2 linked regions of the Drosophila melanogaster genome follow. The protein of the gene in region 1 interacts with the protein of each later gene in a pairwise test. Each region holds a gene or a part of one and is shown on either strand. Other genes may lie near its edges.

Region 1 (4,910 bases):
CTAATCCTTGGCTACCTTTAGAACTCAATTCTGGACATACAACATGTGGCGGTGAACGCAGATGGATCAGTGAACATTAATTCCTACCTGGACAGTTTTCCTTTTCCGTACTATGTGATAGTCCGGGACCTTAACCAGCTGCCGCTGGTGCTCAGCGAAGCCATGAGACAATGGTTCGAGTTGGTTAACAGCGAGTAATCATTGCATTTACTCTTGAGATAAAAAGAAGTGACTTTTACTTATTAATATTAATACAGGCTTGAATATTTAGCCCACTTAGTTATATTTCACATGTAAATATTAACTTGTACAAACTGAAAATGTGACCGAGTGTACGATTGTTCACTAATGCTTTTATAATTTACTTGAAATTGTTACTTTTTTTATTTTTTACAATTAAACTTTTGTAAACAGTATAAAGTTAGATTATATAAACATTAAACGATTCTAAGGTGCTTATATCGTTATCGCACTGGGCCTTGATCTTCAATCATTGTTGTGAAAAGCTGTAAAAAAAGTTTCGGATAGCAAACTACGAGTATATAACATGAAGGTAAGTATTACACCTGAAGTATGTTGGGTAAATGATAGGTAGAATTAATAAATTGAACTTAGCCAAGTACTACTAGTCAACTATAAGGTAAACAATAAATTCCAGTTTGACCAATATATCTATATCTATCTATCTATAGATCATATAGCTGTATGCAGTTGAATCGGTCGTTTTACATTACACAGACCAGAAAGTAACTTGGTTTTATTTTAAAGAAATAGGTTTATAACTCATTAAGCGTTTTTAACATAATTTCCAAAATAAAAGGGCTTATCGAAGTTGTGCAACTCCTCAGAACAAACTTGTTTCGAACTGAAAAACAGAGAAAAGCTGGTAGTACACCATATAGTTACATCCTGCTGCCACACTGCTTATCCTAGTAAAACTTATCCTGTCTTAGTTGACCTTCGTACGACCTCAGACTCAACATGCTTAAAGATCGACCGAAAGTCCCTGGTAAGGCCATATTGGTCCATTGCCTCGCACAAAGTTCGTATGAAAAACGAACCATGATTTTCATTGCGATAGCTCAAATAGGGTTCGTTGTTGCTCAAGATTAGGAGGATAAATCCAGCCTCCTGGGTGAATTGTTTTTCAGACCCTTAAAGAAATTCGTTACTAAGAATAAAACCGTTTGCTCATATTTCTTACACTCCTTCACTTTGTTTCTAACGACCGCCAAAGCTGGATTAGAAATTACTTCAACAGGACATTTTAGGCTTTCAAATGTCTTGCGAAGAGCATTGGCATCATTTGAGCTACCCCTTTTGTTCAATTGAGAATCCTGAGGGAACTCCTCATGTTGAGAATGTACACAATTGGAGGCTTAAGTTTTTTGATTAAATCATATAGTCTGTCAATTTGTAGCAATACGTACTTTTTGATGTTCAATTCCTTGAAAAAGATCCATGTTTCTTGTTCCCCGATCTAAATTTAACTGAGTAATACATAAAGGCCCGTATTAGATTTATGGCACAATCATATTCATCGACAAATGCAAGTACAACTTGGGTGTTTATTGTTATTTCCCGATTATAAAGGTATTGCCGATTGTTGCCTTTTTATACCCTCTTACCCTACTTTATTACTTAATTAACCTACTTACTTAATTAATTGGCTGTGCTTTTAACATTTGCACAGATGAAGTCGGTGGTGAAAACCCAAAAGAGTCAACGGGAGAAAAGACAGCAAAAGACAGGCAAGACAGCCTGTTGACGAGTTATCTTCTATTCTACGAGTGGCGGGTAGATAAAGTCAGAAGGTCAGTAAAGGAAGTTTTAATCGGAAAATAGTAACTCAATTTGTACTTTTTTTGTCGATGAACAAATCCGGATGTTGGCTATATAGCTGGCCAGATAGTGACTGATAAGACAACAAATATTGCACTTGCTTTTGTGCATTACTCAGTTAACGTTATATCGCCGAACAGTAAACATGTATCTGCCCGAAAGAACAGAACATCAAAAAGTACGTATTGTTATTATTATTATTTTAAGAAACTTAATGGTCTTTACGAAAAATCCATTGATACAGATTGAGAGACTATATGACAGCAACAGGGTCAACGCTGAACCAGTAAGTATAAATTGAAGAAAATCACAAATCATCCATTGAATTTTCCTTAGGGTCAAGGCCTTGATTTAAATGAAAAACTAAAGCCGCCAGCCGTGTACATTCTGAATCATGAGCAGTTCCCTCAGGATTCTCAATTGAACAGAAAGGGTAGCTCAAATGATGTCAATGCTCTTCGCAAAACATTCGAAAGCCTAAAATGTCGAGTTGAAGTTATTTCTAACCCAGCGTTGCCGGACGTTAAAAACAAAGTGAAGGAGTGTAAGAAATATGAGCAAACGGTTTTATTCTTAGTAACGAATTTCTTCAAGGGTCTGCAAAACGATTCACCCAGGACGCTGGATTTGTCCTCTTTATCTTGAGCCATGGCGACCGAAAAGAGAAAATCTTGGCATGCGACCACAGGGAATACCACTTGGACGATGACGTCCTTTTTCCCCTCTTTAGAAATCCAACCTTATCTGGCAAGCCAAAAATTTTAATTGTTCAAGCCTGCAAGGGTCCGTTGAGAGCTGACGCGAAAAAAATGAACAACGAACCCTATATTAAGTGTTACAGCTGCTCCGAGGGCTATTTGAGCTATCGCAATGAAAATCATGGTTCGGTTTTCATACAAACCTTGTGCGAGGCAATGGACCAATATGGCCTTACCAGGGACTTTCAGTCGATCTTTAAGCATGTTAAGGCTGAGGTCGAACGAAGGTCAACTATGACAGGGTAAGTTTTACTAGGATAAGCAGTGTGGCAACAGGATGTAACTATATGATGTACTTCCTGCTTTTCTCTGTTTTTCAGTTCGAAACAAGTTCCTTCTGAGGAGTCGCACAACTTCGACAAACCCTTTTATTTTGGAAATTATGCTAAAAACACTTAATGAGTTGAGTTATATATTAAAGAATTTCTTTAAAATATATTTAAGATACTTTCTGGTCAGAGTAAAGTTAAATGACAGATTCAACTGATCCATATATTTACTTTCACTTTGTCAAACTGTAATTTACTGTGTTGATATCTTATCTTTAAATAAATCAATCGAAGCGGAACCCGGAGATAATGTTAAGTGTTCAAGGAAGTGGGTAAGCAAGTGGGTAGGCATTATAACGCGCTTACCTATTTATCAAACTTTATTTACCAATATACAAAATATATCTGTGGACGGCAGTCAACTTAGTGACGAAGCGCACCTGGAATTTACAAAGCTCTGACATGGTTGATTGTAAAAAGTACTGTACAATAGATTTTTTTTTATAATATTTTTAATTTCGAATCCGATTTGCTAGGGATAATCTCAATTTTATTTGAGTTCACCAAAAAATCATGAATGAATTTTACAATTAACTTAAATACTATTGAGATCATAAGCACCTAGAAAAACAGATAGCACAATCCAGACCCACAAGGCAATTTTATTCTTTCTGCGTAAGCTGTTAAACTTCCAGGACGTCTTCGGGATCTCTGACTTCGACATAATACGAGTAGACGACAATCCAGAAGTAGATACCACAGCCTGAAAAGGATGTTCTTTAAGGATGCAGTAACTCACAAAAATAACAACTTACATATATATATTGCAGATCCTGGGACTATTATCTCGCGGTACCGCTCCTCCTTAATCAGCATGTAGATGCAGTACACAAACAGGATCATACAGTTGGTCAGGCTAGTGATCAGGAAGAACATCAGGAGAACAGTTGATCTCTATAGTGGTTTAGCTTGGAGATGGGATCGGCTGCAGTGGGTGCCAAACAGTGGCTGCACTTACGATTAAAGCTCCGCCCAGCAGGAATGTGCAGCCGATACAATGGCAGATTGCCACCGCTTGCTCAATGTGTGCGATGAACTCCTCTAGATGAAGGTGGGATGCATTACCAGGGTGATCATTTAAATGGATCTGCCAGCCCCAAACTTACGACCCGCCAAGTTAAGCACCACTAAGTTAATGATGAAGTCCACGATGGCTATGATGATGCAGGCTCTGCGCAATTTAATGCAGAAACAGCATTTTTTCACCATTTTACAATTTTTATCTAGACAACTCCATAAACTGATTAGAAAAGCAGAGCTACTGTCAGAGAACCACAGTTTATATTACAACTAGTACTGTTAAAAAAAAAAAAAAAAAAAAAACGTAAGACATGGGAACAAACCGTTCTTATAGAGTTTGCCAAATAATAGAAGCTACGTATCTGTTACTTATCTATTAAATACGTATTATCATGACATATTGTGAGCGAATTGCGAATATTCCAGTCGCATTGGTTTCAGTGCATTATGACTTTCATTTCGAGTTGGGGGTTTTTAAGCTAAAAAGCACATTGTGTGCTTATACTACTCGAATATCACTTGGGACTGCCAGCGTTAAAATAAGTAGATAATTTACCGAAATAATGCTTGTTGATTCTACATGTCAGAAATGAATTTAATTTTCATTATTTCACATTTGGTTACTTCTTGTTCGCGGGTTAGTAACCTCTTTATGAAGTTGGCGCCCCATAAATACCTTAGTGTAGATCATGGAACCCAATGACCGTCCCTGGCCGACCAATGCAATGTGCGAGTTACATAATAAATTACAAGTGAACATCGCAATCGAGCATTAAGGCGAATGCTTTTGGCAAATATTGGCCGAAAAGGGGCCGGGAAGACCCAAAAACAGAACGTGACGACGACGGGCCCCTCCCTTTGATCTGGTTTGCCTGTGCAGTTTTCAGTTTCGTTTTCATCAGCCGAATTTCGGATACGAACCCGAATCGGAAACGGAATCTATGTCCACACTGGGCATCGA
Region 2 (5,330 bases), on another chromosome or scaffold:
TCGTGGAAATGCGAGCGAAGCTGACTTGCAGCGTTTATGGCACCGATGCCTCCTACTGCTTCCTGCATTTCGGCCAGGATTCAGGACCTTTCTCTACCCAAAGTGACGATCCCATAGCAGAATCGCCTTTTTCCAAGCGTTGATAGCGCGAAATTAGCGTTATATGAGTTGCCTATTCAGCGCTCATTGTCCTGCCAAATTGTGAAATCAACGAGGATCAAATCGAATGGTGGGTATCGATGGTGGATTGAGGCGCCTCTCCATTTGATTCGAGTTACATATGTTTGAGGATAATTTAATTATCACAGAATACTTGCTAGTCTGCCATCGTGGCCATGGGCTCAAGGTCATCGGGGATTTTTGCTATCCTGCCAGGCGCAAATGTAGCGATTCCATACTGGGTGCCTGGTACTGCGAACTCCTCCCGTTGGGTTTGCTTAACCAAACGCCCAACGGGCAGCCGCACCGAGCAGTAGAAACCCAACCTTTGTTGCCTTGCGGCCTCCGTTGTCCTTGATCTGCATCTCATCTGGATCTTGCACTCCGGCACTTGGATACGGATCCTGCCGAGGAGCATGCACATTCGTCACATCTCTGTGGGTCAATTTCCTCGCTGGCGTTTCAAACGGAGGTTGGGGTCCATCATTAATTCTTGCAACACTTGGCGCTCTCTATTGTTCGCGGCTTTCAGGTTTTTGTTGTTATCCCACTCGGCGCTTTCTTTTCTTTTCCATCGGTTTTGTTTAACTTCTTTTCGAGGGTCTCTGTTGCGTGAAATTCTACAATTAATCAAACCCACGACGGCCCATAGAAAAGGGTCGAAACTATGGTTATAAGCCGGAGGCAGCGGAGCATAATGGTGGCAAAAGCATGACAAGGATGTGGATGCGGTCATGGTAAGGATATGGATGAAGTCACTTTGTTAAATGTTAAATTGGAAAGTTGGAAACATAAACTGATCAATAGTCGCTGATTTTGTATTCAACTGAATATGTTTCCCTGCATCCAATATGGTGTTATATATTTAATATCTCACTTATTTTGTTTGAAAATAATTTACTATGATCTATCAATAGATAGTTCTAAACACACACTTTTATATTTATATGTAATATACTGATAATTAAAATAAAACCTACAATTTGAAATGAAGAACTTTGTTCACCGTTTCCGAAAGCAATAAATAACTGAGAGAAAAGAGGCTACTCGAGTGGCAATATAAACGAAAGCCATAATTAGGTATCAATAAAGGATATATTACGCTTGTAAAGAGTGTTAAACGCGTACTCGATTGCATTATGGGTTCCAGTGAATATCTAATTTGATTTCCGGGGCCAAGTGGAACCCCAAAGAATATCTCAAGTGAAGAGTGAAAAGCAAACGCCAGGCAGACTGATCTCTCAAGTCCAGTATTCCCTTATCCTTATAACAAGGTATCCATAAAGGATATGTAACGCTTAAATTGTATCGTGCTACTTACGGCATTAATTAATTTCCGGAAACCAGTGAAAGTCGAAACTATGCATAGGATTTGAATGGATGGAATGCCCAGGATCTGGAGCAGAAGTATTGTGGTTCCCTTGTACTCGTATACCCCCCAATCCAAAGTTCTCTGCTCTTCTCCCATTCCACGGTGCTTTTCACAGCTGAGACGCCCCCTGGCGGCGAGCGAGACGGTTGCTAAATGGGTCGAGTGAGCCAGAGCGAGATGCCGTTGTGGAGAGCGCTGCGATTGGTCCGCGTAGTGGTTACCTGCCAAGTGACTGTGGGATATGGCCGACGTCTGGGCCGTGGCTTCACAGAAAGGCAACGATCTTGGCCGACGTTCGGATGGTGAAGTCAGTCAGGCACAGACTGCGCAACGAGCCACACCGCATCTCGTCCTCGTTCTCGTCTTCGCCTTCGCCTCCGTTTCATCTTTCCCATCGAGATTGCGAACTAACAGATACTTAGATATTCGAAGTGCAACTAATCGGTTAATCAATACCTCGCAACGCTTACTTATGACTTTGACAAAGTGTCCAGACATTGTCCAGAACTAAAGTGATATAATCAAGTGATATACGAACTTCGAGACTGAGTTAACACCGGTTTTGTGCCGGGACAAGCTTACGCATCTTGGAGCTCCTCCAGAAACTATGACCGTAACCGCCTTTGCTGCCGCAATGCACAGACCCTTCTTCAATGGATATTCTACCATGCAAGGTGAGTGTCTATCGCTTATATACAACATCCAGCAAAAGTCACTTTGGAATATAAGTCACTTTCACAATGTACTTACTAAATATCAAAGCCTAGTTGATCATTTCCATATATCTTCATTTCTAAACCGACGGCTCAAGATCCCGCTAAAGATCTCAGTTTGGGCCAAGGCCGTCGGCTACTCTCTAATGGCCATTAGTTGCCCGGCGGGAGAGTCGCGCGCCTCTGACCTTCGACCTTAGCTCCGAGTTTCCCGTCTTCCCGGGAAGTCAACTCCGGTCGAAGGTGTCGTAAATCAAGTGACACGCGCTCCGCTCTACCTAGCTAGTATTGGAAAAGCCTCTAAAATTTCCATTTTCTCATCTTCCTCATTCCAGACATGAACAGCGGCCAGGGGCGCGTCAATCAACTAGGTGGAGTTTTCATCAACGGTCGTCCTTTGCCCAACAATATTCGTCTTAAAATCGTCGAGATGGCCGCCGATGGCATTCGGCCCTGTGTGATCTCCAGACAGCTACGTGTGTCCCATGGCTGCGTATCGAAGATCCTGAATCGCTACCAGGAGACTGGCTCCATTAGACCAGGCGTAATTGGTGGCTCCAAGCCGAGGATAGCCACGCCCGAAATCGAGAACCGAATTGAGGAGTACAAGCGCAGTAGCCCGGGCATGTTCTCGTGGGAGATCAGGGAGAAGCTGATCCGCGAGGGTGTCTGCGACAGGAGCACAGCACCATCTGTGTCCGCCATATCGCGCCTGGTGCGCGGCCGAGATGCTCCATTGGACAATGATATGTCTTCTGCCTCTGGATCTCCGGCGGGTGATGGCACCAAAGCATCGAGTTCCTGCGGCTCCGATGTCTCAGGTGGCCATCACAACAACGGCAAGCCCTCCGATGAGGACATCTCTGACTGTGAAAGTGAGCCGGGAATCGCCTTGAAGCGCAAACAGCGCCGCTGCAGGACCACCTTTTCCGCTTCCCAGTTGGACGAACTGGAACGCGCCTTCGAGCGCACCCAATACCCTGATATCTACACCCGTGAGGAGCTGGCCCAGCGCACCAATCTCACGGAGGCACGCATTCAGGTGTGGTTCAGCAATCGGCGTGCTCGTCTCCGCAAGCAGCACACCTCGGTCTCGGGCGGAGCACCTGGCGGAGCAGCTGCCTCAGTGAGCCATGTCGCCGCGTCCAGCTCTTTGCCCAGTGTGGTATCAAGTGTGCCCAGCATGGCTCCGCTGGCCATGATGCCGGGATCCCTGGATCCAGCCACTGTGTACCAGCAGCAATACGATTTCTACGGCAGTCACGCCAACATTTCCGTATCCGCCGCAGCTCCAATGGCCAGTAGTAATCTATCGCCCGGAATTACAACCACGCCACCGCACCACCATCAGTTCTACAATCCCAGCGCTAACACAGCCAGCTACATAATGCCGGGTGAGAATGGCAACACCACACCCACCGGGAACATCATCGTCTCCAGCTATGAGACTCAGTTGGGTTCAGTTTACGGCACCGAAACGGAAACCCACCAGACTATGCCACGCAACGAGAGCCCCAACGAGTCCGTGTCCTCCGCCTTCGGGCAACTGCCACCCACACCCAACAGCCTTTCCGCGGTGGTGAGTGGAGCTGGTGTGACCTCCTCCAGTGGGGCCAACTCGGGAGCCGATCCCTCGCAGTCGCTGGCCAATGCCAGTGCTGGAAGTGAGGAGCTATCGGCTGCCCTGAAAGTGGAATCGGTGGACCTGATCGCGGCCAGTCAGTCGCAGTTGTACGGCGGATGGAGCTCCATGCAGGCACTGCGCCCCAATGCGCCACTTTCGCCGGAGGACTCGCTGAACTCCACCAGCTCGACCAGCCAGGCTCTGGATGTCACCGCCCACCAGATGTTCCATCCGTATCAGCATACGCCGCAGTATGCATCCTATCCGGCACCAGGCCACGCCCATTCGCATCACGGACATCCCCATGCGCCGCATCCGCACGCACATCCGCATCCGCAGTACGCAGGCGCACATCCGCACTATCCGCCGCCCAGTTCGTCGGCGCACTTCATGCCCCAGAACTTCAATGCCGCCGCCTTTCCTTCGCCCTCGAAGGTCAACTACACAACGATGCCGCCACAGCCGTTCTATCCCTCATGGTACTAGAATCAAAGGGACACGGATCCACCACCTACTCCTCCAGGAGCAGGAGCAGGTGTCACCAGATCCATGGTACAAGTCGCCAAAGATGTACATACCCATAGAGCAGGGGACGAAAATATAAATAACATTTTATTTGTGGTGGAGCAGTACAGACATTTTCCGTTTGGGAAAACCGCTGACAGACTCGCTCCTAAACAATAAACATATGTATTAGTTCCAATTCGTAGATGTAAGCCTAGAAAATAGTACCGACTTAGGATTAGAGTTTAAGATGATTAGCCTAAGTAGCAAGTGCTCTTAAATAAAAAAATATATCTATGCTAATTTACAACGTACTCCAATGATCTTTCACTCGAAACGCTGGCCATTCAGCAGCCTTGACACGCTTCCGTACGCAGCGGGAAATGGGAAATCCTCTGGGCCATTAGAGCCTTTTAGTAGCTGCGCATTCCACGGACCTGGCTGGAGATCTCAACACTCGCCCCGGGTGAGATACCGATTCCGATTGCTGCTCTCGGAACTTCAGATCCAGCTGTGAGCGGGTCGCATAGTTTCCGGAAAAAAAGAAGAGAAAACTCCCGAAATGCAAGATGATGATTTGGAACGTCCAAAATAGCGAAGACAACTCCAACCAAGGTGTTAATTGCCCCCTCGATTCCATCGAATAGAGAGTGTTGGTCCCTATGGGACTACGAAGTAAATGGAGTAATTGCCCTCGTTCGGACTTACCTCAAATTCACACCTCATCCTCGGGGATCTGCCTACCCAACCATATTCTACGTGTCCGAGCGATGGCAATTAATGAAGTCATTATCCTTGAATCCTCACCTCCAGACAGCTCAGACAGCCTAACGCACACTGGCTCTATTATTTTAATCTAGAAAAAACTCCTAATCGCTATTTGCTCTATCGCTCTGGCCATCGAGGTGAAAAGTAAATATTGACTTTACAATCGACTTAGGAATCGGAATTGGCAAAT

The links.
Region 2: the proteins of Damm (region 1) and prd interact in a two-hybrid assay, tested with the Drosophila melanogaster proteins (one large-scale study listed by BioGRID).

What each region holds. Positions count from the first base shown.
Region 1 is NT_033778.4:11,863,432-11,868,341, reverse strand, and holds Damm (death associated molecule related to Mch2 caspase), read left to right. Parts: upstream 1-1,958; 5' UTR 1,959-1,987; coding exon 1,988-2,020; intron 2,021-2,086; coding exon 2,087-2,128; intron 2,129-2,178; coding exon 2,179-2,386; intron 2,387-2,436; coding exon 2,437-2,842; intron 2,843-2,920; coding exon 2,921-2,999; 3' UTR 3,000-3,552; coding exon of another isoform or gene 3,553-3,632; 3' UTR 3,633-3,684; coding exon of another isoform or gene 3,685-3,823; 3' UTR 3,824-3,887; coding exon of another isoform or gene 3,888-3,970; 3' UTR 3,971-4,035; coding exon of another isoform or gene 4,036-4,138; 3' UTR 4,139-4,230; downstream 4,231-4,910. Other genes in the region: CG13185 (uncharacterized protein), read left to right, coding at 22-198; CG42531 (uncharacterized protein), read right to left, coding at 3,553-3,632, 3,685-3,823, 3,888-3,970, 4,036-4,138.
Region 2 is NT_033779.5:12,082,338-12,087,667, reverse strand, and holds prd (paired), read left to right. Parts: upstream 1-1,840; 5' UTR 1,841-2,138; coding exon 2,139-2,205; intron 2,206-2,289; exon of another isoform or gene 2,290-2,525; intron 2,526-2,579; coding exon 2,580-4,354; 3' UTR 4,355-4,673; downstream 4,674-5,330. UniProt on the Drosophila melanogaster protein: Pair-rule protein expressed in a segmentally repeating pattern to define the polarity of embryonic segments. Capable of sequence-specific DNA-binding.